7 linked regions of the Oryctolagus cuniculus genome follow. The protein of the gene in region 6 purifies or fractionates together with the protein of the main gene of each other region. This does not show direct contact. Links are inferred from orthologs where the notes say so. Each region holds a gene or a part of one and is shown on either strand. Other genes may lie near its edges. The genes, in order: IER2, MYO9A, IQGAP1, PPP2R1B, PABIR1, PPP2R2B and MTCL1.

The links.
Region 1: the proteins of PPP2R2B (region 6) and IER2 purify together in Homo sapiens (affinity purification with mass spectrometry; 3 studies listed by BioGRID and IntAct, with this or other methods). This does not show direct contact. The link is inferred for Oryctolagus cuniculus from reciprocal best matches to the Homo sapiens genes PPP2R2B and IER2.
Region 2: the proteins of PPP2R2B (region 6) and MYO9A purify together in Homo sapiens (affinity purification with mass spectrometry; 4 studies listed by BioGRID and IntAct, with this or other methods). This does not show direct contact. The link is inferred for Oryctolagus cuniculus from reciprocal best matches to the Homo sapiens genes PPP2R2B and MYO9A.
Region 3: the proteins of PPP2R2B (region 6) and IQGAP1 purify together in Homo sapiens (co-immunoprecipitation; 3 studies listed by BioGRID and IntAct, with this or other methods). This does not show direct contact. The link is inferred for Oryctolagus cuniculus from reciprocal best matches to the Homo sapiens genes PPP2R2B and IQGAP1.
Region 4: the proteins of PPP2R2B (region 6) and PPP2R1B purify together in Homo sapiens (affinity purification with mass spectrometry; 4 studies listed by BioGRID and IntAct, with this or other methods). This does not show direct contact. The link is inferred for Oryctolagus cuniculus from reciprocal best matches to the Homo sapiens genes PPP2R2B and PPP2R1B.
Region 5: the proteins of PPP2R2B (region 6) and PABIR1 purify together in Homo sapiens (affinity purification with mass spectrometry; 4 studies listed by BioGRID and IntAct, with this or other methods). This does not show direct contact. The link is inferred for Oryctolagus cuniculus from reciprocal best matches to the Homo sapiens genes PPP2R2B and PABIR1.
Region 7: the proteins of PPP2R2B (region 6) and MTCL1 purify together in Homo sapiens (affinity purification with mass spectrometry; 4 studies listed by BioGRID and IntAct, with this or other methods). This does not show direct contact. The link is inferred for Oryctolagus cuniculus from reciprocal best matches to the Homo sapiens genes PPP2R2B and MTCL1.

The regions. Positions count from the first base shown.
Region 1 is NC_091447.1:62,549,173-62,553,414, forward strand, and holds IER2 (immediate early response gene 2 protein), read left to right. Parts: upstream 1-1,413; 5' UTR 1,414-2,276; coding exon 2,277-2,987; 3' UTR 2,988-3,979; downstream 3,980-4,242. Other genes in the region: STX10 (syntaxin-10), read right to left, coding at 39-293. UniProt on the Homo sapiens protein: DNA-binding protein that seems to act as a transcription factor. Involved in the regulation of neuronal differentiation, acts upon JNK-signaling pathway activation and plays a role in neurite outgrowth in hippocampal cells.
Region 2 is NC_091443.1:111,163,038-111,166,724, reverse strand, and holds part of MYO9A (unconventional myosin-IXa), read right to left. Parts: intron 3,469-3,687; coding exon 3,149-3,468; intron 1,855-3,148; coding exon 247-1,854; intron 1-246. UniProt on the Homo sapiens protein: Myosins are actin-based motor molecules with ATPase activity. Unconventional myosins serve in intracellular movements. Regulates Rho by stimulating it's GTPase activity in neurons.
Region 3 is NC_091443.1:100,738,734-100,742,420, reverse strand, and holds part of IQGAP1 (ras GTPase-activating-like protein IQGAP1), read left to right. Parts: coding exon 1-15; intron 16-606; coding exon 607-690; intron 691-781; coding exon 782-853; intron 854-937; coding exon 938-1,007; intron 1,008-1,480; coding exon 1,481-1,689; intron 1,690-3,687. UniProt on the Homo sapiens protein: Plays a crucial role in regulating the dynamics and assembly of the actin cytoskeleton.
Region 4 is NC_091432.1:103,700,757-103,704,443, forward strand, and holds part of PPP2R1B (serine/threonine-protein phosphatase 2A 65 kDa regulatory subunit A beta isoform), read right to left. Parts: intron 1,463-3,687; coding exon 1,308-1,462; intron 621-1,307; coding exon 478-620; intron 118-477; coding exon 26-117; intron 1-25. UniProt on the Homo sapiens protein: The PR65 subunit of protein phosphatase 2A serves as a scaffolding molecule to coordinate the assembly of the catalytic subunit and a variable regulatory B subunit.
Region 5 is NC_091432.1:161,632,634-161,637,066, forward strand, and holds PABIR1 (PPP2R1A-PPP2R2A-interacting phosphatase regulator 1), read right to left. Parts: upstream 2,967-4,433; 5' UTR 2,945-2,966; coding exon 1,955-2,944; 3' UTR 374-1,954; downstream 1-373. UniProt on the Homo sapiens protein: Acts as an inhibitor of serine/threonine-protein phosphatase 2A (PP2A) activity. Inhibits PP2A activity by blocking the substrate binding site on PPP2R2A and the active site of PPP2CA.
Region 6 is NC_091437.1:34,207,618-34,211,304, forward strand, and holds part of PPP2R2B (serine/threonine-protein phosphatase 2A 55 kDa regulatory subunit B beta isoform), read right to left. Parts: intron 3,537-3,687; coding exon 3,439-3,536; intron 202-3,438; coding exon 36-201; intron 1-35. UniProt on the Homo sapiens protein: The B regulatory subunit might modulate substrate selectivity and catalytic activity, and might also direct the localization of the catalytic enzyme to a particular subcellular compartment.
Region 7 is NC_091441.1:65,956,537-65,960,223, reverse strand, and holds part of MTCL1 (microtubule cross-linking factor 1), read right to left. Parts: intron 2,762-3,687; coding exon 1,186-2,761; intron 1-1,185. UniProt on the Homo sapiens protein: Microtubule-associated factor involved in the late phase of epithelial polarization and microtubule dynamics regulation.

The sequences.
Region 1 (4,242 bases), on a different chromosome or scaffold from region 6:
CACCGATCGCCCTCCCCGGCCCCGTCGCTGTCACTCACCCTCGCACTACAAAGAATGGATCTTCGAGAGACATGGCCGCCCCCCTCCCCCAGGAGGCCGCAGCCCCTCCGGGCTGGGGCTCGCGAGCCACTTGGTTGCCTCGCAGCCCAGGAGGAAGCGCCGCCACCCCCGCCCCCGGTTCGCCACCATCGAGAGCGGGACCTCCAGAGGAGAGAGAGGTCCGAAAGGAGGAAACTTCCGTTCCCGCTGCCGCCATCTTGGGTGTGGGCAAAGGCCACACTTCCGGTCCGCATGTCCCGCCTTCTCAGTCACAGTGCCGGGCCGTTGAATGGGCGGGAGGGGTTCGCAGTCTAAGTGAATTGTTTGCTTTTGAGGCAGTGTAAATAATAATAGTCGGATTCCAGCTGAGAAAGGGTGGGGGGTCAGTGGGTTCCATCCCCGGAGCCCGCCCCGGGGCGTCCGTCCCAGCCCAGGGTCCCCAGCAGCAGGTGTGGGAAGGGCTGCGGGCATTTTAGCGGCGCTCTTCCTGCAGGGCGTGGGTGGGTGGGGGGAGAACCCCCGAGGTCGTATTGGGGCGGAGCGACCGCGGGAGGAGACCCCTGGGGGGCGGGTGTGGTGTCACCTGGGCGCGCGAGCCTGAGGGGGACCCCTGAGGAGGCACCCCGGTGAAGGTCCCCGGGAAATCGGAGGTGGGGGGCCGGGTCTCCCCTCTCGGGAGGGTGTGCGGGATGCCTCCGGGGGTCGCCCGTGGTGTGGGGCAGAGTCGCCGCTGTGTGCGGCCTGCAGACGGGACTTCTGGACTGTAGGGCAGGGGCGGGATCGGTTAAGGATGAGGTGATTTGGGGGGTCCTTTCAGGGTCGCCGCCGTCGGGGGGTTCCGTAGTGGGAGCCCGCGCGGGCGGGGTGCTTGCCCGGAGGGGCGTCGCTCCTTCCTGGCCCCCACGAGGGAAGGAAACGCCGCCTTCCTCTTCCCCCGCCCCACACGCCCGGCCCCGACGGACTCCGAGTCCGGAAGCCCCAGGCTCCAGCCGGCCGCGCGGGGGCGGGGCGGCAGCCGCGGAGGGGGCGTGTCCGGGCCGAGGCCCCGCCCCCAGAAGCCCCAGGCTCCAGCCGGCCGCGGCAGTCCGCGCGCACGGGGGTGGGGCGGGGGCGGAGGAGGGGGCGTGCCCAGAGCCGAGGCTCCGCCCCCGGAAGCCCGCTCCCGCCCGCCGTGGTGCTCCCAGCCCCATGTCCTTATATGGGCAGCCGGAAGTGGCTGGCGCGTTCGCCCTACGTCACTTCTTCCAAATTTAGCTGTGGAAGTCAGCGGGGCCCCAGTGGCGGGAAGGCTGCGTAAGCCGGGGGAGGGGGGTGGAGGGCGCCTCTTAAAGGGCCCGCACCACGAGTGAATGCAACCATTTGAACAATGTTCTTTTTTTTTTCTATTTTTTTTTTAAGCTACGGGAATTGAGTCTTCTCGTGGCGGAGGGTGGGGCCGATGTTTTCTCCGCGTGGCTCAGTTTCCAGCTCCGCCCCCCCGGGGCGCAGAGGCAGAGCAGGGCCCCCTCTCCTCCGCCGCCGACGGGGGGCGGCAGCCACGTGTTCGTCGCCGGGGCCCGTGCCCCGTTTGCGGCCGGGGCCCAGCCCACCTGGGGGGTGTCGCATCGCAGCGGTGAGCCTGTGGGCGATGGCTGGGCTGCGTTCCGGAGTCTGCGGACGACCACCCACACCCGCCCCCTCCGCCCGGTGGGCGTTCGAGCTCCGGAGCCCAGCAGCGCCATCCCGCGCAAGAAGAGAGCTTAGCACCCAACACGCAGCCAGCGCCCCTAAGCTCAGACGGCTGGGCGACGGGAGGGAATGACCGGCTCGGCCCCGAGCCTCCCGGGCTAAGGGGCCCTGGGTGCAGACGGCGCGAGCACGTGGGCGGGCCCGGAGCCCCACCCGCGCCGCCCCTCCCCAGGGCCCGCACTCGGAGAGCTCAGCGTCCCCTCGGGGCGGGGGGGACTCCACCGTAGGCCGGGGTTCCCCTCCTGTCCCCCTTTTTCCATCACCGCGAGTAAATTGCACCCTGTCGCTTTAAGGAGGCTCCGGCCACGGGGCCGCGGAAAGCCCGGATGCGGCCTTCTTACTGGGCGGGGCGTCCCTGTGACGTCACCCGGGGTATAAAAGGGCTCGGGTGGCGGGCGCCGGGGCAGAGCGTCCTAGCGGTGTCCCGGCGCGGAGAAGCGTGAGCGAGCGCGTCGTACCCCCCCGCCCCGAGTGCACCTGCCGCCCGTCCCGTCCGCCGTCGAACCGCGATGGAGGTGCAGAAGGAAGCCCAGCGCATCATGACCCTGTCGGTGTGGAAGTTGTACCACTCCCGCATGCAGCGCGGCGGCCTGCGGCTGCACCGGAGCCTACAGCTGTCGCTGGTCATGCGCAGCGCCCGGGAGCTCTACCTCTCGGCCAAGGTGGAGGCGCACGAGCCGGACGCGCCCCTGCCGCCCGCCCGCCCCGCCGACCCTCGCCTGCACCCGCCGCGGGAAGCGGAAGAAGCCACGACCGAGGCAGCGCCCCCCGACGGTGAGCAGCCCTCGCCCGAGCCCATGGACACGCAGGAGGCGCCGGGAGCCGAGGAGGAGGCGGCGGCCCCTGCCCGCTGCGCCCTGCGCCCAGCCAAGGCGAGCCGCAAGCGACGGAGCAGCTGCAGCCTGAGCGACGGCGGGGACCCGGGACTGATCCCTAGCAAGAGGGCCCGCCTGGAGGAAGAGGAAGAGAGCATGGAGGCGGACCCGGACGAGGAGGCGGCGGCGGCGGCGAGGGTCGCCGATCGCCTGCAGCCCGCCCCGGCGCAGAGCGAGGGCGCCTTCCCCAACCTGGCCCAGGTCCTCCAAAGGCGCTTCTCCGGCCTCCTGCACTGCAGCCCCGCCAGCCCCCCGACGGCGCCGGCGCCGCGCGAGGCCAAGCCGGCCTGCCGCCCGCAGGACAGTGTGCTCAACGTGCTGGTGCGCGCCGTGGTGGCCTTCTGAGCACCCGGGCGGCGGGCGCTTGCCGGAGCCCAGAACGCGCGCGCGCGCGAACTGAACCGTCGTCGGCCCGAGGGCGCGGACGCGGGGACGAGCCTCTCCCCACCACTCAACACACGGAGGCGCGCGCACGCCCTGCATCGAGGGGGCGGCGCGGAGAGGAGCGGCGCGGCTCGCCGGGAGATGCCGAGCATCCCGGAGGGGGGACCCTGGCCATGCGCGCCCCCCTCTCCAAACCCGGAGGAGCCGTGGGCGCAGGCGCCTTCCGCGGACCACAGGTGCTGTCTAAATGGACCGAGACGCGGGCCTTAACCCTCTCCCAGACCGGGAGCCAGGGGGAGTGGGCTTGGACCGTTCATTTCCTCAGGGTCGGACTTAATTTTGTTGTTTTTTGTTTTTTCCCACCGAGGGCTCAACGCCGGCCTGCCGTGGTTTTTTTTTTTTTTCAAGAGCCGCCGTGTGCCGTGGCAAAGTCCCAGGAGACTCCTCCCCCCCTCCAGGGACATACTTGTGCAGGCGGTCAGCGTTGCGTCACGGGGCCGCTTCCTGTTGGCGTGCGTGGGTGCGGGGCCTGGGAGGGAGGGTCCGGGGTGTGGACCCGCCCCGCCGTGGGTGGAGGGCAGCCTGATCACCTCGCCCACGCCGCCCGCTGCTGGTTCAGTGTCCCACGCCCGGCGCGCCCCTCCCCCCCGGGGGTGGTGGTGGCTGGGAAGAGAGGTGGTTTCTCTGGTCTTGTGCAGGTGGCGGTGCCCCCCATACCCACCCCCAATACGTGCCCACGGCAGGCTGAAGCTGGGGGACCGGTTGGCGGCCATGGCTGGCCCGATTTGGGGGTGGGGGTCGGGGATGGGGAGGGGAGGGCTCCTGTGGTGGCCCCGGGAGTTTTTCCTTGGGAGGGGATGGGTGGGTTGTGGTTTCAAAGCCAATCTCACCTAGCCGGTTTTGTTAGGGACCGTCAGAAAAATAAAGAAGACAAAAAAGACTTAAGTATAAAAGTTTGGCCTGTCTGGTTTCCTGCCGCGGCGGGGGAGGGGCGGGGTTAAGGGGTCACGCGCTGGCTGCGGCCGGCTGGGGCGGGGTGGGGGGACCCCAGGAGCCGGTTTGACCGGTGGTTACAGCGTGGGCGGGAGAGGGAGCAGGCTGGTCCTGCGCCCCCTGAATCCGCTCTCCCAGTGGGGGGCGTAAGCACGATTTGGGGGACCTTGCCTCCTCCCGCGGCTGACCTCGGGCGTCCGCCAGCGATGGAGCTGAACTGGTG
Region 2 (3,687 bases), on a different chromosome or scaffold from region 6:
AAGGCACTCACGGCCCTTCATAAATGCTTGTTCAATAGCATGGGAAGGAATCAAACACTCTAGCATCTAGGCCTTGTCAACGATTCTTATGGTAAAATTGTAGCCGATTTCCAGTGGTGGGTAGAAACAATGAGGAGAAATGCCCAAGTTGAGGGGCATACACGCAGAAAGTGCAGCAGAGTCAGGCATCTTAATAAACTCTGCTGTTTCCATCCACACACGAAAGTAAACACACACTCCACTCACAGGGGCATATTCACACTGTCCTTCGGTGTAAAGAAAATGGCCCTGGTGGTTCCCTCTCTGGAAGGGTCATCAGACGTGTGGCCAGAAGACGGAGTCGGCCTAAGGTGCTCTCTTTTTGAAACGCGATTATTGGAGGGTTTACAGGCTATACTTTGTTGGGTGCCCATTCTGTCTGTCTGAGATGATTCCGTGACACCACCAGATTGGCACTGGGCTCCTTTTCTTTCAAAGAACAGAGTCATAGGTCTGTCCTTCGAGGCTAGGTGAGCAGAGCAACTGTCTTTTGGGGCAAGAGCTGTATCTTTTACAGTTACTGATGGGGATCCTCCTGCACCAGGTTCTCCCTTATTTGGGACATTTGGGATGAGTAGGGAGGACGGCCTCTCCGTTCTTTGCTTGGAAAGACAGAAAGACGGGGCCAGGAAGGACTCTCCAGTTCTTGGCTTCTCCAAGGTCTGGAAGGCTTTACGCTCCTTCTCTAGGATATTTGTCTGTTGGCGGATCTGCTCCATCATCTCTTTCTCATTCTGCTGCTGCAACTGCTTTTGCCTTTCTTCCTTCTCCGAGTTCAGCTTTTCTAACTTCTTAAGCACAGTACTGGCAGATTCTGTCTTCACAAAAGGAGTAATGTGCTCTTCTCCTGAGAAGCGATGCTTTTCAGCTTCCCTGCTGACGTCGAAAGGAAGAACTGTCCCCTGCGTGTCTTCACTTTTTAACACTTTGTTTCTTTGGGTGCTTGTGTCTACTTGGGAACTTGTTTTTAGTGGGTCTTGATGGGGAATATAAAAAAAAGTAGGCAGACTACTGGAAATAAACAGGTCTCTCGGCTGTGGCTTGCAGGTAACAGGTTCAGAGCGGCAGACCGGCTTCTCCTCCCCAGAGTCACCCTGCGAGGGCGCTGAGTCTACAGGCACTCCCTTGTGAAGAGACACACGGCTCAGCTCACTGGAGGTGCTGCGGGTGTAGTCCTGTGTGTCAGCTTTTGGACTGCTAGATACTGCAGGTGCTGGAATCTGCAGATCTCCTCCATCTACAATCACAGACTCTGGTTTGCCTTTCTGGGTTTCCTCACAGCTCAGAAGCTCCAAGCTTCCTTGAGAGCTTTCACTATCAGGTGTGCCCTGCAGAGAGGGCAGGCCTTCAGGCACCAACTCCGTAGACCACCTGCGCTCCTCGGAAGGAGACACACCTCCCAGAGAACGGACTTTCAGCAATTCCAGGCTAAATATAGCTTGCTCTAGTTCTCTCATTCTCCGACTCTCTCTTTTGGCCCGGCCTGCTTTCTTCTGATGCAGGTCCTCCAAGGACTTGGGCCGTTCTCTTACCACCACGTCTCCCTGCAAGTCCACACCACTCTGGCTTCTGGCTCTCTCCTGCCGCATGTTTGGGGACTCCCTGGAGCAGTCCACTGAGCCTTCACGGCGGGGGCGATTCCTCTCTACCACAGACTTACATTCCTCTACGGCTTTCACTCTGCTGTCAAAGGAGCAATCCTCCCAGCTGGAAGGGTCTGAGCCCTGAATTTCCAGAGCTCCATATGCCCTTGTGCTCACCAATCCAAGTTCTAGCTTTGCTTCTTTAAGTTTCTGCTCTTTTAACGCTTTGAATCTGTAGAAAAACAGAATGGGTCAGAAATGACTCTTTTTTTTATAACCTTCTTTTTTTTATTTATTTATTTATTTTTTTTTTTTGACAGGCAGAGTGGACAGTGAGAGAGAGAGACAGAGAGAAAGGTCTTCCTTTTGCCGTTGGTTCACCCTCCAATGGCCGCCGCGGCCAGCGCGATGCGGCCTGCGCACCGCGCTGATCCGATGGCAGGAGCCAGGAGCCAGGTGCTTTTCCTGGTCTCCCATGGGGTGCAGGGCCCAAGCACCTGGGCCATCCTCCACTGCACTCCCTGGCCACAGCAGAGAGCTGGCCTGGAAGAGGGGCAACCGGGACAGAATCCGGTGCCCCGACCGGGACTAGAACCCGGTGTGCTGGCGCTGCAAGGCGGAGGATTAGCCTAGTGAGCCGCGGCGCCGGCCTCAGAAATGACTCTTGGTTGATACCGGAAAGGATGTGCGTACTGAGAACTCAGGGAACATGGAAAGGTACAAAATCTTCTACTCACAACATCCAAGTATTTCTTAAACAAACTTGATCACACATTTTAAATTCTCTTATTTCCATTAATCAGATGATACTTTCATTAAGTGTCTTATTCCTAACTGGGCATTCTAGTCAAAACATAAACTCCAAAGTAAAATTCTCATTTTAATAATATCTTTAAAGTAAGCGTTAAATATGAATTTAAAGTTTTTGAAGATATAAATAGTGGATATTATAAAAAAACTTAAAAAAAAGATTAAGCCTAACACAAATATAGTAAGAATTGTTAACACTTAGCAATTATAACCATAGACCATGTAGGTCTTCAATCCAATTTAACACAACACTTAACTTCTATTGTAGACAAGATACAGCAGGTTAAAAACTGATAGGAATATCGTAGTATAGCAAAGGAAACACATTATACATAATCAATTGTAAAACAAATCTTGGCCAGCGCCGCGGCTCAATAGGCTAATCCTGCACCTCGCAGTGCCTGCACACTGGGTTCTAGTTCCAGTCGGGACACCGGATTCTGTTCCGGTTGCCCCTCTTCCAGGCCAGCTCTCTGCTGTGGCCCGGGAGTGCAGTGGAGGATGGCCCAGGTGCTTGGGCCCTGCACCCGAATGGGAGACCGGGAGAAGCACCTGGCTCCCAGCTTCAGATCAGTGCAGCGCGCCGGCCGCAGCAGCCATTGGAGAGTGAACCAACGGTAAAGGAAGACCTTTCTCTCTGTCTCTCTCTCTCTCTCACTGTCCACTCTGCCTGTCAAAAAAAAAAAAAAAAAATCTTAAGGCACAGATGAGGTTACCTCTGCCTTGCTCTGAATCCTCTACATGTTGACTGCAGGAGGATAATTTTGCTCCTCTGCTCTTGGTACTGCTTGCTTTGCCTGTAACCTCTCCACCTCGCCTGTATGCACACAGCGGCCCTGTGTCTGCGTCTCCGGTGCTCCCTCCACCACTGCTGGATGACCACGGCTGCAGCTCGCAGCTCTAAGTAGCGCTGCCGCTCCGAATGCGCACGCCAGGAAGCCTGCAGACGAGCAGCCGCACTGGCCAAAGCCGCAGCATCTTCCAGCAAAGCTTCACCCCGCGCCTGCTTCTGAGTGAGGCAACTCCTCCAGAAACGCTGTGGGCAAGACACAAGAACAGAAACTGGCCATCATTCCTTATCCTACACTTTCACAGGAAAAGGAAAAAGGATTACATTTTTTATGCCATGATTAGAGGTTATATGGCTAAGTAGCTAAATGGGTGAAGACTAAACACAAGTTTTCCAGATACACTGGGTTCAAACAACCACTTTAAATAACATGAGTACAACCTTGATGGAACTAAGAATTTAAAA
Region 3 (3,687 bases), on a different chromosome or scaffold from region 6:
ATCACCTGCATTCAGGTATCTCAGAGCCCGTCACACAGGCAGCAGGGGGGCTTCTAGAGCAGGCTGAATAAACTGGCGTCTCTCACCTTGGAGTGTCCGAGTGTGGTTTTTTCTTCTTTTTGACTTCTGACCTCATTGTCTGGTCTTCTGACGAGTACCTGCTGCTTTACTAACGCTGCCATCAGACTGTGCTTTCTGGAGCTTGGTCCTCGGGCTCCTCTTCCTGTCTTCCACGACTGTGCCCTTGTGTAAGATTTGAACCCTCAGAGACAGCGAGAGGTTTGTTAGTGCACTGTCATGGCACGAATGCTGAGTTGGGGATTAGGGCTGCGGTGCCCCCAGAGTGGGGACTCTGTTTCCTCTCTGTGCAACAGGGATCTGCTCTTGGCTTGCCTGGAATGGTGCATGGTGGTGCTGAGGACAGGGGAGTGAGAGTCAGCCCTTGTGTTCCAGTAGAGGGACAGCCCCTGCCCTTGTTCCCCCGGCCCTGCTGGGCATGGTCCTGGGTAAAGCTCCATCGTGAATTTGCGCTGGGCTAACACGAGAGCCTGGATGAGGTTTTGTTCTGACTTTGGCTGATCTTTGGGAAATGTCTGACGGTTGCAGTCACAGTGGAGGGGATACAAGCAGAAGAAGGCGTACCAGGACCGGCTGGCCTACCTGCGCTCCCACAGAGATGAAGTTGTGAAGGTACGGCCACCGAGCAGGCTTCCCGGTGTGGGGAGCAAGGGTGACGTGCAGCGTGCAGGGCCCTGCTGACTCCTAGGTTCTCTTTCTGCAGATCCAGTCCCTGGCAAGGATGCACCAAGCCAGAAAGCGCTATAGAGATCGCCTCCAGTATTTCCGAGACCATGTACGTACCCACCTGGGGCTGTCAGTTTGGCTGTATTTCTGATGGGCAGATGAGCAAAGGAATTTCTCTGTTTTTGTCCTGTAGATCGATGACATCATCAAAATCCAGGCTTTCATCCGGGCAAACAAAGCTCGTGACGACTACAAGACTCTCAGTGAGTAACTGGCTCAGCAGCGAGGAGCTGAGGTGTGGTTGAACACCACCAGGTTGTGGGTATTCTCGGTGGATCTCTTGTTGTCCTGAAGGCAAGGCCTAGGTAGGGTGCTGCTTGTGAGTGAAGCCCCTTTGCTGACGCCTGGCTGATGTCTGGTTGCTAGCTGTGTTGACAGCATGACCAAGAAGGCCGTCCTTGATGGCTGTCTTAGCACATCTCAGAAGAGAACAGAACCTTGGGTGTGAAGAGAGCTACTTTTTTCAAGACAGTTCTGATATGAGGATCTTGAGAAAGTTCATGGAAATGTGTAGTACGAAAAAAACTCATAGATTTCAAAACTTTTTTCACCAAAATAAATTCATCTCTGCATCTCATTTTCCATGAACTTTTTGAAGTGCCCTCGTGTTTCCTGAGACTTAGAAGTTTTTCTGGCAACTCTGTTCTTTGTCTGATGCGTGTTTTCTTTCTGTCAGTCAACGCCGAGGACCCTCCCATGATCGTGGTCCGGAAGTTCGTGCACTTGCTGGACCAGAGCGACCAGGATTTCCAGGAGGAGCTCGACCTCATGAAGCTGCGAGAGGAGGTGATCACCCTCATTCGCTCCAACCAGCAGCTGGAGAACGACCTCAACCTCATGGACATCAAAATCGGGCTGCTGGTGAAGAACAAAATCACGCTGCAGGTACGGCCCGGCGCGGGGGCCCGGAGCTGCCACAGGGAGGCTGAGGCTCACTTGCTTCTCAGCTCATGCCATAAATTATTTTTTTTATTTATAGAAGAAATAAAACAATTTTATAAAATTTTAGGCAGAGAAAAGAAGATGAGAATTCTCCCCTAACTCCAGCATCTGACAAGCATCTTGTGTGTGTGTATTTTTTTTTAAGATTCATTTATTTATTTGAAAGGCAGAGTTACACAGAGAGAGGAGAGGCAGAGAGAGAGAGATCTTCCATCCACTGGTTCATTCCCCAATTGGCCTCAACGGCCAGAGGTGGGCCGATCCGAAGTCAGGAGCCAGGAGCCTCCTCCTGGTCTCCCAAGGACTTGGGCCCTCTTCCACTGCTTTCCCAGGCCATAGCAGGGAGCTGGATTAGAAGTGGAGCAGCCAGGACCCGAACCACCACTCATACATCTGTTGGCGCTTCAGTCCAGGGTGTTAACCTGCCGCACCACAGTCTTGGCCCCTGAAAGGCAGAGTTATAGAGGCAGAGGCCAAGGCAGAGAGAGAGAGAGAGAGAGAGAGAGAGAGAGGTCTTCCATCCACTGGTTCACTCCCTACACGGCTACCAAGGCCAGAGCTGGGTCGATTTGAACCCAGGAGCCAGGAGCCTCCTCCAGGTCTCCCACAGGAGGGCAGGGGCCCAAGGACTTGGGCCATCTTCCACTGCTTTCCCAGGCCATAGCAGAGAGCTGGATTGGAAGTGGAGCAGCCAGGACTCGAACCACCGCCCATACAGGATGCCGGCCCTGCAGGGAGTGGCTTTACCTCTTACGCCACAGCGCCAGCCCCAGTAAACTGTTTTTACTTCATATTATAGGATGCAACTCTTATATATAGTCATAAATCTAATAATTTTTTATTTAAATTTTTTTTATTTGATAGAGCCAGGGAGAGTACTCTCATTTGCTGATTCACTCCCCCAAAAGCCCACAACAACCAGGGCCGAAGCCAGGAGCCAAGAACTCAATCTGGGTGTTCCATATGGTGGTAGAAACCCAGTCACCACCACTGCCTCCCAGGGTTTGTGTTGGGAAGCTGGAGTCAGGAGTCAGAGCCAAACATCAGACCCAGGCAACCCAGTGTGGAATGTGGGTGTCTTAACCACGCCCCATAAATGTTATTTTAAATTTTTAAATTTATTTTAGAGTTCTTGCCTGGGGCTGAAGTCCATCCAGGGCTCATGTGATAGGATAAACCCAATGACTTTAGCCATCACCACTGCCTACCAAGATCTCCATTACCAGGGCACGGAATCCATGCACTCTGCTGTGGGATGCGTGGGGCCCAGTGAGTGTCTCAACCACTAGGCTGAATGCTTGCCCCCAAATAATGTTTTTAATGGCAGCATAATAATCTGTTAGATTGTCACTTTTCCTTCCTGCAATTTGACTTTTAGATTGTTTTCTGAGTTTTTATTGGAAATAAAATCGCGGTTGATAGCTCCATGTATTTACTGTAGTTAAGACTTGGTTTTAAGACAGAGACCTAGGCCGGCGCCGCGGCTCACTAGGCTAATCCTCCGCCTAGCGGCGCCGGCACACTGGGTTCTAGTCCCGGTCCAGGCGCCGGATTCTGTCCCGGTTGCCCCTCTTCCAGGCCAGCTCTCTGCTGTGGCCAGGGAGTGCAGTGGAGGATGGCCCAGGTGCTTGGGCCCTGCACCCACATGGGAGACCAGGAAAAGCACCTGGCTCCTGGCTCCTGCCATCGGATCAGCGCGGTGCGCCGGCCGCGGTGGCCATTGGAGAATGAACCAACGGCAAAGGAAGACCTTTCTGTCTCTCTCTCTCACTGTCCACTCTGCCTGTCAAAAAAAAAAAAAAAAAACACAGAGACCTAGAAGTTGGTGTCCTGAGTCAGTGGACGTGTTTGTGGCTCAAGGTGTTCATGGGAAGATTGAAGCGGGAATGAGCTGGATTGTTGTGACGGAAGCAGGCCAGAATGCAGCAGCTGGGAACTGTT
Region 4 (3,687 bases), on a different chromosome or scaffold from region 6:
AAAAGCAAAAAACTGAAATACATACCACTTATAGCTTCCTGTGCAAAGTACTTGACATCCATGTCTTCATCTTGACCTAACTTTTGTAGTACTGGCTTAACTTCCCCCTGCAAAGCACTGAAATTCAAAAGGTACCTGTGAGAGGCAGTCCAGTGGGCCAGAGAAATCCTTTTTGATGTATAAACTCCATGAAAATTTTTAAAATTTAAAATAAAAAATTTAAAACACAAAACTTAACAAATGTACTAAATTTCTAAGAGGTTCTCAAAAAAATCAGCTTCAGACACTAGTCTACATATGTACAAAGCTTAAATATGTCAAAGTAAACGTCTTCAAAAATGGTTGCCTACTATTTTCTTTAAACCAATCAACACCTTGTAACCCAAAACTCATGGAACTTAATTATAGCAATCACTCCCTTCTACAAGAGAAAAGTTAAAACATACTTTCAAAACAGTAACAACACGAAAATCTTACGCAGTATCTAGAATTGGTCCAATTTTTTGTAGAGATTTGGCCACATTGAATCGGACATTTGCTACTTGGTCTCCTGCCATTTTTAATACAATGGGCAGCATTTGCTTAGTAGTTATTTCCTGACCACAGGCTTCAGACAGTGCCTAGAAAAATAAATAAGAGAGGACACTTAAAACTTTTATTTATTTACTTATATTTTCACTTTATTTGCAAGGCAAAGAGGCAGAGACAGAGAAGGATCTTCCATCTACTGATTCAACTCCCCAAACGCCCACAATAGTGGGACTGGGCCAGGCTAAAGCCAGGAATCTGGAACTCAATCTAGGTCTCCCATGTGGGAGCAGACACCCAAGTACTTGAGCCATCACTGCTGCCTACAGCAGGAAGCTGGACTCAGAAGCAGATCAAGAACTTGAACCCAAGCACTCTGATATGGGATATGAACATCCTAAGTGGTGTCAACTGCTGTATCAAATGCCCGTCTCAAAACATATTTTTTTTTAAATTCCCAAGATCTACAGAGACAAATTCATATTTCGTAAGAAAGTAGCTCATCAACAGGAATACGTTTCCAGCTTGAGCATATGAATGAGGAATACAAGGGAGCATTCAAAGAATCAGACTAGAATTTACAACTAAACTGCAACTTCCAAAATACCATAAAATTTAATATGAATTTTAAAATCAACATTTTCTCATCTTCTAACCATCCACATTAATGACTACAAGAAGTGTATTCCAAATAGAAGATGGTATGTCTGAATTCAGCAGTATAGTTGAGAAGTAGTACTTTAACGTGAGCTCAGCAATAATAGTTAGGTAATACTTACATTAATGCAGAATAGTGTTGTCATTCTATGCAAGTAATTAGGATCATTTGCCATTACTAATACTTTGGGAACGATGGTATTTTGGGCCCACTCTGTGCCAAATTTCTGAACTAGTTTCATGAGGTTGTTGGTGGCAGCTTCCCGGATGGCATACACTGCAGAAGAGATCAAGGACACATTCTCACTGCTGACTTGAAAAGCAGAATGGAGTTTACTTACAACATCAGTAACTGTGGGCCCAAAACAAAAGCTCTCTGCAACCAGACCCCAAATGTAATCATACCACAACAAGCATACTCGGCTGCAACTCACAAAATACTGATCTACTGTCACTGCTTCAAAATTTACAGTATGTTCAAGGAAAAGGGATACAAGAAGCTCATTACATGCATTATCAATTCATTAAGTCCTTGTGATGTTCCAAGTGGTACTAAAAAAATAGAAAGACCACATGTTCTTATCAGAGAAATGAAAGACAGCACACTTCAAGAAGTGCCATGGTGCAAGACGAACCGTAATGAAGTCTGACACTGTGTAGTAAATGCCGTGGGGGCTAAAAGACAAAGAGCTCTGGGACGGCCACAGGAGAGACTTTGAACTAGACTCTGAAGATCAGGGAGGATTTGTTTAAACACAGAAGTGAGGAAGAATTCCTGGAAAAGGCAAAACAGAAGCACAAAGGCACAAAGGCAAAACTAAAATTCTTGAGACTGCAAAGTTAAGAGTGTGCCCAGACCACAGAGCATTTTGAAAGCTAAAACAAAGACCTGATAAGTGGCCAGATGACCAATGTGATATTTTATCAAGATCGTTTCAACAGTGTCAAGGTGAAGGAGACTATACAGGGGCCTCTGAAGTTGCCTATACACAGCAAATGAAAACTCAGACCCACTCATTTGTTTTCCATGAAAAACACTTAGGTTGGGATAAAACGTCAAACGCCTTGTGTGAGTAAATGTGCCTGTCTTAACATCTAACAGTTCCCTACAAGACCATTTACCAAGAACATTATACATTAGCTGACAAACGTCTAAGCTACTCTCCTCACCCAGTTTCTGCATACAGCTCCAAAGACAGGTGCAGTGTCACTTCATTTTACAAGTTCAGTGCGACTTAAAATTTGGGCTTACGTAACAAATTGAGAGTGGCAGATAATGATTCCTTAATTCTACTCTGTCACCAGCTGAGCTCAACTCTCCTGGGTGAAAGGAAGGACAGGAATGGTTATTCATGCCACAGCTCTGCCCTAGGCAACTTACCCAGGCCTCCAGACAGGGAGTGCCCAAGTGTCCTCAGGCTGCTGTAGATCCTTCTGGTTAATGACGAGGAGAACAGCAAAACAGCACACAGAAGAAACTATACATTTATTACCAATAATTAAACTGACCGAGGTCTGTGGAGACACAACCTATCACCAACGCCCAAAGTACCCTCTAAGGAGCAAGCTGAAGCCAGCTGCTTTACTCATAATACATTCTTTCCCTTCACACCCAGTCTTTGTCTCTGGCCCAAACCTCTTCCCCTCCTTCCCCTAAGGTGCAGCTGGCTAAAGCATCCATGTCTTCTCCTCTAATTACTGTTTTTAATATGCTTGCGATTCTTCTCATCATCATGCCAGTACCTTAGAAGGGATCCCACTGTGGAGCAACCAGAGACCAAGCACATACGACACAGCTCAGCCTTGACCAAGACCTTAACTGCACTCGATTCTACTTGGCCAGATGCCTACTGTGTTCTAGGCTGTTCTCAATTCTGCTGTGAGAAGAATGCGAACCATGCCAGTTCTGTCTGTTTTCTCTCCTGGTTTAGTCTTCTCTTCCTCTCTTTTACTCTCTCTCTCTTCTCTCAAGATTTGGTTGATTGCTAACTCTAATACTTGGTTCTTTCTCCCATTAAAAAAAAAAAATTCCCAGTCTAAATTCCTCCCTCTGCTCAACACTGTCTACTCAACCACTCCTTTCTTCCTTATAATTCTCTGGATTTTTTACACTACTGTTAGTTTATTAAGCAACAAAGAGTTTTAAAACATATCACCAATCAGTACCCACTAAACAACACTTTCTAAAATGCAAAAGCAAGTGACAGAAAACTCCTGTAATGAAGCACAGAATCATTTCAGAGCTGCCATTTCACTGTTCAAAGAATGCTTGCAAAACCCACCACAGGCTACTGATGCAGTAAAATAAACAAGGCTCTTCCTGTGCTCCCAAACTGGAAGGAAAACAAAAATCAGGAAAGAAGTAATAATTCAGTTGCAGAGAGAGAGAGAGCAACCTTACAGAGGAAGGATGTCAATAATTTAATTTGTGTGAAATATTAGAATTTTAAATTCCTCAATAAAGCACCTTCAAAGAACAGAATGAGCTGCTGCAGGCTGGTG
Region 5 (4,433 bases), on a different chromosome or scaffold from region 6:
GTGTGAGATTCATTTCTGGAGCAAAGTTGATACGCCTGGTGCTTAAGTTGGATGTGACCAACAGGGAAAAGGGCAAGTCAGAGAGTCTACCTTAACTTCTAGTTTGGATGATCTGAAATTAGATAGCTACAGCATCACTTTAGGTAAGGCAGAAATAGGTAAGTGAGAAGATGACAAAAAAAAAAAAAGTTTTGTTTTGAAGATGCTGAAGTTAAAGTCCATCTGGAAGCAGGTCAAGGCACCCAATAGGACACTGGATATACTGATACAGGCTTGAATTTGAGGAGCATGGACACTGTTACCCACAACAGAATTTTAAACTGTAGACACAATCTTACCCTTAATATAATTCACTGAACCTTGAAGCAACTGCCAAGAGTTGACCAGTTCCATTTATTCTCACAGTAGTAAAAATTCCACATAGTTGTTAAAGTCTTCGGAGGCAGTAACTTTAAAACGTTAAGTTGGGGCTTTCGCCTTGATCTACGGAATCTCCTGCTGCACTCTTTTTGTCTGTGTATCTTTATCTATCTATCTAGTTAATATATGAGGTATTAAAGGAAGTACAATATAAAAAAATTGTGATTCGTATTTTCATTGTAAAAGGTAAAACCAAAATGAAACAAAAAACACCCATCATTCCATAATTCTATCTTTAACAAAACCTAAGTTAAACAATGATTTATCTGTGACACTCCACTGATCTTCTCTCACAAATCATCGACTCTTGGTTAACTGACATCTCCAAGACAGTTGACTCCAGCCCCAGCTTTAACCACTGAGTTCAACAATTCACAGTTCCGTTTGTTGCTGTCAGAAACCTGATTCACACCGTACCTTTGCCTATCCCATGGTGCCCCAGTTTGGTGGAAGGCTGGGAGGAAGGACCTGTTGACAAGGAAACAGCCACTCTTCCCAACCAAGGGGAAACCAGGGATGGGACAGCTACACAGGGTACACAAGCAGCAAAAAACCTGCTCCGCCTACTCACTGGCAAGAGTTTTCAACCGGAGGCACAATGGGTATTTCAAAGCACATCAACGAATTGACGGAGGGCTGTCTGCCTGGAGGCTCTGAATTTCAACCAGACTTTCCACACGTTTTCTACATTTGAAAAAGAACTCAGCCTCAGCCTATTCTACAGCAGGATACAACTGCAAGGCACCGTCCCATTTTACTTTAGGATTACACCCAAGAGAATGTACTTTCTGGTTAAAAAAAAAAATTCTGAATACTAGCTATATTTGCACAACCTACCAGAATTACTATTAAAATGTCACTAGAAAACATTTTTCTTCAATGTTTTACTTGGATATAATTTTAAGACTTGTTGCAAACTTTTCTGAGGTGTTCTTTTATCAGTCCTCCTCCCATCCATTTCTGTATCCAGGAAAACCCACTAAGGATTCCTGGGTAAAAGAGACAACCACTGCATTCATTTTAAAACTAACATTTTTTTAAAAGCTGTAAATAGGTAAGTTATCGTTCTTTATCAAATGGAAATTAGCAATCACTGAAAAATAACATTAAAATTAGTGTGTGCATGAATTATGGAATTTTTAAAACATCAGTTTACTATGCTGATTAGTTCAACATTTATATTTTCATCAGAACTTAATAATCCCATAAATAAATAGAGCTCTCAATTATTTAAAAAAATCAAGGGATAACATATGTATTTAGACATATTAGCAGCGTAAAGATGTATGCTTCAACACACTTAGGGGAAAAAGTCCAAAAATATTACTACACTGAATTCAAGGGCATCCGCAGGAACCTGACATGAGAGGTCTCTAGAATAACAACATTTCAGGAAATCCCAAAAGAGGAAAAGGGTCAAATAGGAAATAGCCTCAAATTAATCGACAGAGTTCAGTGCTTGCTCCAACTTGATTTCTCTCTCTCCTCTCTCTCCATTGCAAAAAAAAGCCCACAAAGTCTCAGGACGAGCGGATCACTTAGATGCAAGCTCATCTACAGGGATGAACGGCGAGGCTGCCTGGGCAGGTGACACGGGAGAGTCGGCGGCAGTGCTGGCTTTCGCTGGTGAGTTGCAGGAAGATCCCGCACTGCTGCTGTTTCCGTCAAGGGTATCCGAAGACACACACACCCCGGGATCTGACAGCTGTGCAACGTCGGAAGAAAGCATGTTGGTGATGCCCTGGAAAAATCTCTTTGGCTGATACTCAGTTTCCATTTCACATTTTCTTTTCAATGGTCCAAGAACACTTGGTCTAATGCAGTTGATGGGACTCTGGCTTCTCCGAGTAGTAAATCGGGTCGTTGGGCTGGGGATAGGGCTCGGGGGCAATCCGTTGCTACTCACAAAACTTTGCAAGGATGGTGAGAAACACTGCTTCCCAATCCCCCGGGTGGGTGACGGTGCTGGGGACACCGGAATGAAATCGATGCGCTTCGGGGAGGCGGATTTCTCCACGTCGTTGTCACTCAGGCTGAAACTTTCCTCCCAGGAGTGGCTGATCTGCATTGCGGTCTGCACCTCGCGCTCGTGGACCGTCTCTCGGTTGATCAAGTCCATGCCCTCCTCCTGTTTGATTTGGTGCAAGCGGCTGCTGTGCATGCGGACGGGGGAGGCCGGCAGCAGCAGGCCGTGGCGGCTCGGGAACGTCGTGCTGTTCCGCCTGGCGCTCGGCGCCTCGGCCTGGAACACCGGCGAAGTGTCACTGAGGCCGTGGATCAGGGGGGCGCTGTTAGACCTCCTAAGGCCCCCGCCGCCGCCACTGCCGCCGCCCTCCGCCGGGCTCCCGCCCGTACCCGGAGGCAGCTCTAGGTCCAGCTCCATCTTCTCCTGAGCCATGTCGGGGGCAGGGAGGCGGGGGCGGTGCTCAGTCAGGGACCTAGGACTCCCATTCCCCGCAGTCCAGGGCCGCCGCCGCCGCCGCTGCCACCCAGAATCTGTCAGCGGGCCCTCCCGTGTGCGCATGCGTGCCCCTTCGCGCAGGCGCTCTGCGCTATCTGTCTCCGCGGCGCCTGCTAAGTGCGTAATCGCTGCGCCACAGGCGCCGGGGGGAGGGGCGGCGAATGGTTGGGCGCTGGAGTGTACGTTCCTTCCGCGAAGAGCTAATTGGGCGCGAGCTCCTATTAGCGCATATTGATAGGTTTACGTTCAGGAATGCCTACTTAATGAAACGAACATAAGCTCTCAAAGGGCCTTAGTGATGTGGGGTTTTATGGCGGGCAGTGGGGCTTGACCGAATCAGGGAGGGCTTTCCCCAGGAAGAGGCCATCTCCCGAAACGCGAAGTAGAACGCTAAGTGGTATGGTGTAGAACCTTCTAGGAAGCGGGCAGCAGGGGCTACGCAGCCAGCTGCCAGGCAGGAACCAGGAGGGGAAGGGAGGGGGCGTGTGGCCCGCAGTGAAGACTGACTGGGAGCTGGACAGGCTACGGTGTGTCTCTTGAGAACAGTAACATCTCCAAAGGTTTTCAAACGTGGGGTTAACAACAACTGACAAGCTCGCTGGCTGCAGTCTGGAGAAAAGATTAGTGGGAGATTAGAACCATCCGGAGAAAGACCAGAGAGGATGGTAATTTGCAGTTAATATAAAACATTTATGTCTCAATTAAATGTATTCAGTCAGTCATTCAAAGTTTCTTCCTGGGTAGCTACTACATGCCAAGCACTGTGCAAGAAATGGGCCTTTTCAGAGAACATTTCATTTCCACGGGGGTCAAGGGTGGGGGGGTGGGTAAATAAATAGCTGTTTGCAGATAGAGGTAAGCCTTAGGAAAAAACAAAAACGGGATCACGTGTTAAAGCCCAGCTGCTGGGAGGCAAGGGGCAATGAAAGCTGAGATGTAAGGGACGAGGAGGAGAAGTGGTGCAGACGTCTGTGCGTGAGTAGTCCAAGCAGAGAGAACAGCAAGAGCTGAGGCCCATGGCAGCCGTGATCGGTTAGCAGGAAAAGAAAAAAGGGCAGTGCCACTGAAGCATAAGGGAGGGGGGTGAAGGGGAGTGTAAACGAGTCTGGGTTTCCTTCTCAGTCTGATGAAAGTCCGCTAGGGAATTGTACATAGGGAAGTCATACTGTCAGGTTGGTATTTGTAACAGCATTGAAAGAAGGCAAGAGTGGAGGCAGAAAGGTGGGTTAGGAACCAATGGCAAAGGCACAGACAAGAGATTATTGGACTAATAAGCAGTGGCCATGGAGAGAAGATGGATTCAGGAGGTTTTGGAAGCAGTAGCAGTAAGATTTGCGGAGAGATTAAATTTAGATGGTGAAAGAAGTATGTCAAGAACTGACTTCATTTTTTTTTACTTAAATTAGGTAGATAGTGTTACTTTCTGAATCAGAGAAGCAACATATTTAGAGGTATAGAAATTACTAATTCTGTGTTGATTGTTGTATTTGATTTGGAGGTGGCTATTAGATAGCCACATGGATACGTGAACTTAAAGACAGTTAAGTCATTT
Region 6 (3,687 bases):
TCTCCCCAAACATCAAACAGGATAAGTTCACGTACCATTAGTAGACAGAAGAAAGTAAGCTGCATTCTGTTGGGGGAGCCATCTTATTTTATTGATTTTTTCTTCTATTTCTAAACTCTTCAGGTAATCGAACTCGGGTTCATGGCTCTGGAATGTGCTGTAAACATTGTATTCACCCCTGCGGTGAACCTGGTTTTTACTCTGCAGGAAGGGAAAAAAAAATATATATATATAGAAGATTAAATTATGGAAGTCAACTTCAAAATCACCGATTCCCTTTTTTCTTTCTTTCTTCATTTTTGGGCAGAGTCACTGTGATGAGAACCAGGATGAGGACAGCCCCATGTTTTATCTTACTTCAATGGCTTCTCAAGCTATTTAAAAATTTTTATTTATGTTAAGAGAGAGAGAGAGCGCGCACGAGCGTGTGCGCACTCATTCCTATCAGTTGCTTTATAACCTCAGTGTCCTACAACCTAGGCTGGGCTCTGGCTGAAGCTGGGAACTCAGTTGAGGTCTCCCCTGTGGGAGGGCAGGAGCCCAAAAACTTGGAGCTATCGCTGCTGGCTCCCAGGGCTCGCATTAGAGCCGGGAATCACACACAGGAACTCCAATATGGCATGTGCATGCTTCAGCTGCTAGTCTAAACACTCATTCTTCCAAAGTTTTTGATCATGCTCCCCATTAGCAAATATTTAGACCTTCAATATGCATATATTTATTTGTAACCTATATGCATGAACTTCAGCACTTATATATGGTGTATATCATAACACAAGCACAGATACAGAAGTTAAAATAGGACAAGATTTTAAAATCAGTTTAAGTAGCAGCTTCAATATTTATATTTTGTACTCTGAAGTATGCCTTGGATATGAGGTAAGCCACCTCACACTGGTGTCCCTGTGCAAGGGGCCTTCAAGAAGTAATTGGGAACATGGAATGAAAGGAGAAGTTTATCCTGGTGCAGAAAGTTTGGAGAAGCATTTTTTCCCCCACAGTACACCTTTTCCATGAATTTTTTGAAGACCCTTTGTATACTGGTAGCAATCTCTTACAAACAGTACAAAATTGCAGCTTCAGCAATTTTCACTGGCTTTTTAAAATCTCACAGAATCTGAAAAGCAGGCAGGGCGGGGACATGGACAAAAGAGGGTCAGAAATAGTAAGCTGTTTCTTTAAGGTCACAGAGCTCACAAGGATCCAGTCTGGGCATCCGACTCTCTCTCTCTTCCTCCCTAACACAAGGGACAAAACTGGCACTCAGAGATGCCAGCTGTATCACGATGCAGCCGATGAGACTTTTCCTCTGGCTTTCCCCTAGCAACGATTAAAGAGCAAACAGCAGGAACTAAATAAATGATGAGAAAACGAAACACAAGGGCAAGAAAGGAACAAGGGAAAGAGGACGGGAGAGGAGAGAGAGAGAGAAAGACAAGAAGGGGAGGGGGGGAGGTGTTTCAGTCCCTGGAGGACCGTCCTGCCCAGAGAGTCAAGACTCAGGCGTTAGAAACCTGGACAACAGTTCAAACCTGGCTCTCAGTAAACAACAGCCACAGAAGCTTGACTCGGAGTAAACCTGCTCCATTTAAAATTTTGTATTGCCGGGTGGATAGAGGACATCCAAGCCCACATCTTAACTGACTCATGGGGGAGGGTGCTGCCCTCGGCGTGAAACACTTCCGAGTGGGCACTGAGGTTCCTACAAACAAGCTCTCCATGACTAGGCATCCTAGAACCAGAACCAAGTCTGCCCCATATGACGTCACCTGGCTTGGTTTCTCATGTTTAGCTCTCATTTTAATCCCTAGCTTGACACAATAGCATACACTTAACTGCAAATTCTTTTTCCTCAATGGCATTTATTTTTTCTTGAGCTAAACCACCCTGCTTTGGAAAACATGTCCCTTGTCATTCCACTAATGAATCAGGCTTCCTAAATATTTCAGGAGATTAAAATAGGAGACCCCTAAGAAGAGCTACCGGAAACTGCAGACCAGGTCACATGTGGCCATAGGTAGGTCATGCTAAGTAGCTCCTCCAGTTCTACCCTCTTATCACAGTGAATCCAACTGGAGCTTTTTAAAAAAAATGTAGAGAAGTTCTGAAATTCATTTTCAGAGGACTTTAACTGCTGACACACTTGCTTACTTGCAGAGAGAGCCAGTCCACCTTAACAATAAATTTATACGAGTGTTGATCTGCTACCTTCCAAATCAGACTGTCAAGTGTGTGTAGCATGTGCCAGACCAATTAGCACAAGGCAGCTCTGGAAGAGCAGGAAAAATTCCAGGTCACGAAGAGCTAGGAGTTGCTGCTTGCCAACCACATTTTCGCATTTCCAGGGCCGATGCAATAGGCTGGGTGCCTGATTTAATGCTCAACACTTGAATTTATACAGAACCCCAAGGGATTATGATGCCCTTATAGAAATTAATTGCAAATAATGTGCAATTACCAAATATATCACCTCTAAATGAGGCTTCCCTTTTTTGAGGGGAGGTGTAATGCAAATGGCTTTGAGGCACAAAGCAGGCATTAAATTGCCAAGGCAGTCTCCTGTGAAGCCTTCCTCGCGCTTCCCGGGGGCTGGGTGAATCTCAGAGGCAGGCAGTGGCAGATGGGAGAGGACTAGGGACACAGACTCGCCTGCTGGAAGCTCCACCACCATGCCAGGGGAGGCCAAGGAAATCAAATTGGGCCATAATTTCATTCTGACAAAGCAGAAGCATGCACACATACACACACACACACACACCCCACAATCTCAATTTATATGAAAAAGAGAAATAATTCCTAGTGGATTCCAAGTCTTGGAAACAAATGGGCTTCTGGAAACTCGCTGGAAGTCAGCGCTTCTGCTCCCAAACAGAGGTGCCCATAGAGCTCAGCTCGGGGCACCTTCGTGTCACCTATGCCAGGGGCGGTGCCAGCCATGTGCCATGTTCAGATGTCACTTCAGGACATTGCATTCCCTTTATGGGAACTGCACTCCATTTTCTTCTCTGCTGACCGCACTTGTCCTGTTCCCATCCGTTGGCAAATACAACTCCTTTTTACCTTCAACTTATTCTGGCAGCCACCCAAAATCGAGGGAGACTGACTGTCGCATGCTCAAGGAGACTGTCACCCCAAAAGGAGGCGTCACGATGCTCAACAAGCACCCATGGAAGTTTGCAGATCAGACAAGCGGTGGAGTCATCACGGGGGTCTGATATCCAGGCCTCGAGCCTTGGAAGGCCATGCCCATAGCAGGCTGTCTTTGAAGGGGCCTCTGTGAGTCTGTATGTGCAACTGTTGATATTAATGATTTTTTGGCAGTTTTTAGTTTGTGAGCAAAGCAGCAAGGTTAAGGGCGACACATGAGGATTAGAGAACAGTAGGAGGCTTCCTTGAAAAAGAGAAGCAAACAGGCATTTTGCATTCACTGCCACTTACCTCCTGCTCTCGTTGAAATATTACAACCCGACCCCCCTTGTCCCCTGTCGCTAGTAATTCTCCCGTGTGGTTGAATTCTACCGTAGAGATAATGTCAGCTGAAAAGAAGAAGACAAAGGCAACGTAAGTAACTGCACACTTACTTTGAAAGGATAGATAATAGACATTCTTTTTCCGCGCATTTAAGGGCTTAGGGCTCTGTCGCTGCAGTGGAATTTACAAGGATTTTACATTCAGTATTTCGAGTGG
Region 7 (3,687 bases), on a different chromosome or scaffold from region 6:
CCCAGCAGAGAGGACTTACCTGAGGGGCCCTGAGGGACGGGGGTGACACCACTTGTCAGCTGGGAACACTCAGCCAGCAGTGTCTGCCCATCCCAGAGCCTGGAAACAACCTGTTCACAAACACTGGGCTCTTCGGGCCACGTGCTGCCAGCATGTGTGTTGGGCTGAATCACGGGGAATCACCATTTCTGTAGGTCACCGGCACCTGCACTCAGCTCGCCATTTCGGATTTCACCTCTGTATTCTTAGGTAAGCACTCCTCGGTGGGTCAGTCTGGCCCTCTAACTGTGCTGGCATTTCTCCCCCTGGGAAATGCAGGCCCTGTGATGTGGGGCACACACCCTCTTCCTCTCCTTGCCCTGGGGCCAGGGCAGCCCAGGTGGTGGCAGCCCAGAAAAGAATCTGCTCCCCTCCTCTTCCCCGACCCTGGGGAGAGGACCAGCCTGCAGAATGCTCACTGGGCGAGGCGTTCACACCTGCTCAGGGCTGCACGAAGTGAGAAGCCGGCCTCCCCATGGCCATCAGCACCAGCAGGATCACAGGGCTTATTTCATTTGCTCATTCTAGGCCTGGAAATGGGAGCTGCTGGCTCAAGCGGCAAGGTGCAAAGTACACCCCGGGGGATGTGTCCTAGAACAGAACTCCAGGCTGACTGATGGGTGAGCAATGTCAGGGCGGCAGTGCCACCTCCTCCTGTACAGAGGCAAGGTTCAGGGTTTACACATTTGTTTCACTTGGGTTTGCTGCCCCGGGGGATTCACACACACAGAGAGGGGAAGCCGCTCCTGAGAGTCCAGACTGCTGCTTTGCACGGAGGCCAGCTGGGACATCGACCTTGTGTTTGCAGTCCCTGACGAGCACGTGACAAGCACGTGTCCCCGTGGTCCTCACCCCCCTGGCCCCCTCCCATGTAGCACACTTGGACGTGCCGTGACATGCATCCACACACAGAAAGGGCAAATCATGACCCAGAACGCAGACCCTGGGGGTGCAGATACAGATCCATCACCGAGCCCAGAGGCCAGAACCCTTTCTGCCTATGCTATCTTCCCCAAAACCCAACTCAGCCCCCGCTCACCACAGCCACTTAGAGACAAAAACGCTTCTTCCTGCAACCAACGGCCTGGCCAGGTGCCCTCTCACCCACCCCTAAATGGAAGAGCTGGAGGGAGAGGGTGCCATTACCTCCATGGGCCCTGGCTCGGCTGTGGCCGCATCTGCCGTGTGGTTGTCACTGAGACTCGGGGGACCGTGGGTGGCCTGCCTCGCCTCCTCCCTTAAGGCGTGCTCCATCAGCTTCCTGTTGAGAATCCGGGCCACGTTCTCGGCGAGCGTGTAGCCAGGGGGAGCGGCTAGGTCCTGCCTCACCGGCGTGCCCTCTCCCCCTTCCTCCCTGGACGTCTCAGCGCCTACACCAATGGGGCTGGGCGACCTTCCCCGGGAACTGGTGCCCGTCTCCTGGCCTGGGCCCAGCTCGGGGCGGGGTTCTGCCGAGCGGGACCGACTCCCAGCCCGCGCCCCCTTCTGGAAGGGGTCCTGCACCACAGGGCTGTGGTCGATGATGTTGAAGAGGCTGGAGAGGCCGTCGTTGATGGTGGTGTGCACGGGGCTCTCCCTCGTAGTGGTGGAGCGTGCCCAGGCCGACTCGCTGTACCCCTTCTGGGCCACACCCGGTGAGGTCCTGCTATTTGGCTGGTCCACTTTGGGGAGGGGCTTCCGCTGCAGCTTGGGAGACCCGTACTTGGGGGAGCAGCACGTGCGTTCAAACTTGGCCTGCACCTTCTCGATGGCGGGGGCCACCTGCCTGCTCCTAAGGCTGCGGGAAGGAGACGACACGGGTGTGGTGCCGCCCCCCGCCTTTGGTGTGAGACACTTGTGGGGGCTGCTGGTGACGCCACCACTGCCCCGGAGGGCTTCCGTCTGCAGGCCCACGCTGATGGTCTGCACGGTCTGCGTGCCCGTGGTCCGGGACCCGTTGGTCTGGCAGGCCATGTCCTTAACTTGTGGCTCGGGCGGGCTGGAGCAGATGGCGCTCCTGACGGAGAAAGCCACCTCCTTCATGTCATCACTCATGTTCTTGGACATCTCTAGGCTGTGCAAGGGGGAGGCAAAGCCCAGGGGGGTACACAGGGGGCTCTCGAGGGGGCGCAGGGTCCCCTCCATGTAGTCTCGGGGGTGTTTGCAGGGGGCACAAGGCCACCTTCCAAGCATGGGTTCCAGGGGTCCCCCCTTGGCGTCGCCCAGGCTCGCTCTGGCCCTGCTGGTGGGAAAGGGCCCCTCGGGGTCCAGCCGGCCCCTGCCCTCGCTGCCCCCCTGCACGATGCCATCCATCCTGCGGACGGCGGGCGGGCTGTGCAGCACACGCACACCGGACTGCTCGGTGAGGACGTGGCTGCGCAGCGGCTGCTTCTGGCAGTGCTCTGGGCTGGTCATGGTGTCCGTGGTCATGGTGACGCTCGTGGTCAGGTACCAGGAGGAGTCCGAGAAGGGCTCCGCGCTGGCTTCGCACCCTGCCCGCCCCACCTCGGTCCTGTCTGCCCAGAGGTCCGCAGGCCTCTCGGCCCCAGCCCCGCTGGGGGACCTGGGGGACGTGTAGTCCCAGCTCTTGGTGTTGAACTCCTCGATGTACTTCAGGTCGTCAGGGGACAGGGGCGGGGTGACGTCTTCCTTGCTGCTGGCAGACGGCAGGCCCTTCTCAGGCAGGAAGGGGGACACGTCCATCAGGCGCTGGAACTCCGACATGGAGGACACAGACACCGCCCTGGAGAGGCAGAGAGAGGAGGTCATCACGCGCCCTGAACGCCGCAGCCCTGTGCCCTGCCCTGCCTTGCCCGGGTAGTGGGGACGGAGCCTCCCCTAAGCCACTGGAACACTCTGCAGCTGCTTCAGACTCCCTGCTTACGAGCTGGCCCTGTGGGTGTTTATTGGACGTCTGTGGCTGTGGGACTGTTGCTGGAGCCTTGCTCTGATCAGAACCAAATAGTGGCCGGTGCCACGGCTCAATAGGCTAATCCTCTGCCTTGTGGCGCCGGCACACCGGGTTCTAGTCCCGGTCGGGGCACTGGATTCTGTCCTGGTTGCCCCTCTTCCAGTCCAGATCTCTGCTGTGGCCCAGGAGTGCAGTGGAGGGTGGCCCAAATCTTTGGGCCCTGCACCCGCATGGGAGACCAGGGGAAGCACCTGGCTCCTGGCTTCGGATCAGCGCAATGTGCCGGTCACAGCACGCCGGCCACTGCGGCCATTGGAGGGTGAACCAACGGCAAAAAGGAAGACCTTTCTCTCTGTCTCTCTCTCTCTCACTATCCACTCTGCCTGTCAAAAAAAAAAAAAAAAAAAAAAAAAAAAAAAAAAAAAAAAAACCAAATAGTGCCAACCCTCAAATACTGCAAACAAGCGGGAGGGTGGGGCCATCCAGCAGTCAATGCAGCTCAACTCCCAGCTGTGGCTTGGCATGGCCCTCGCCGGTGGGCACCTCCAGTGCCAACCCTCCTGCAAGGTGTCACGGCAGGTGCTCATGCTGCAGAGTACCCCCAGGCCCTGCCCACCACATGCTCATGGCCCCCCGGGAGAGAGAGACCCAGTGATGTAGCTGCGGTCCCACCACACAGCCTTGTCCTCCACTGGCTTGAAGCCCTGTCAACCTCCAAAGGCCACGAGGCGGGTGACAAAGGGAGGAAGGGCAAGGGA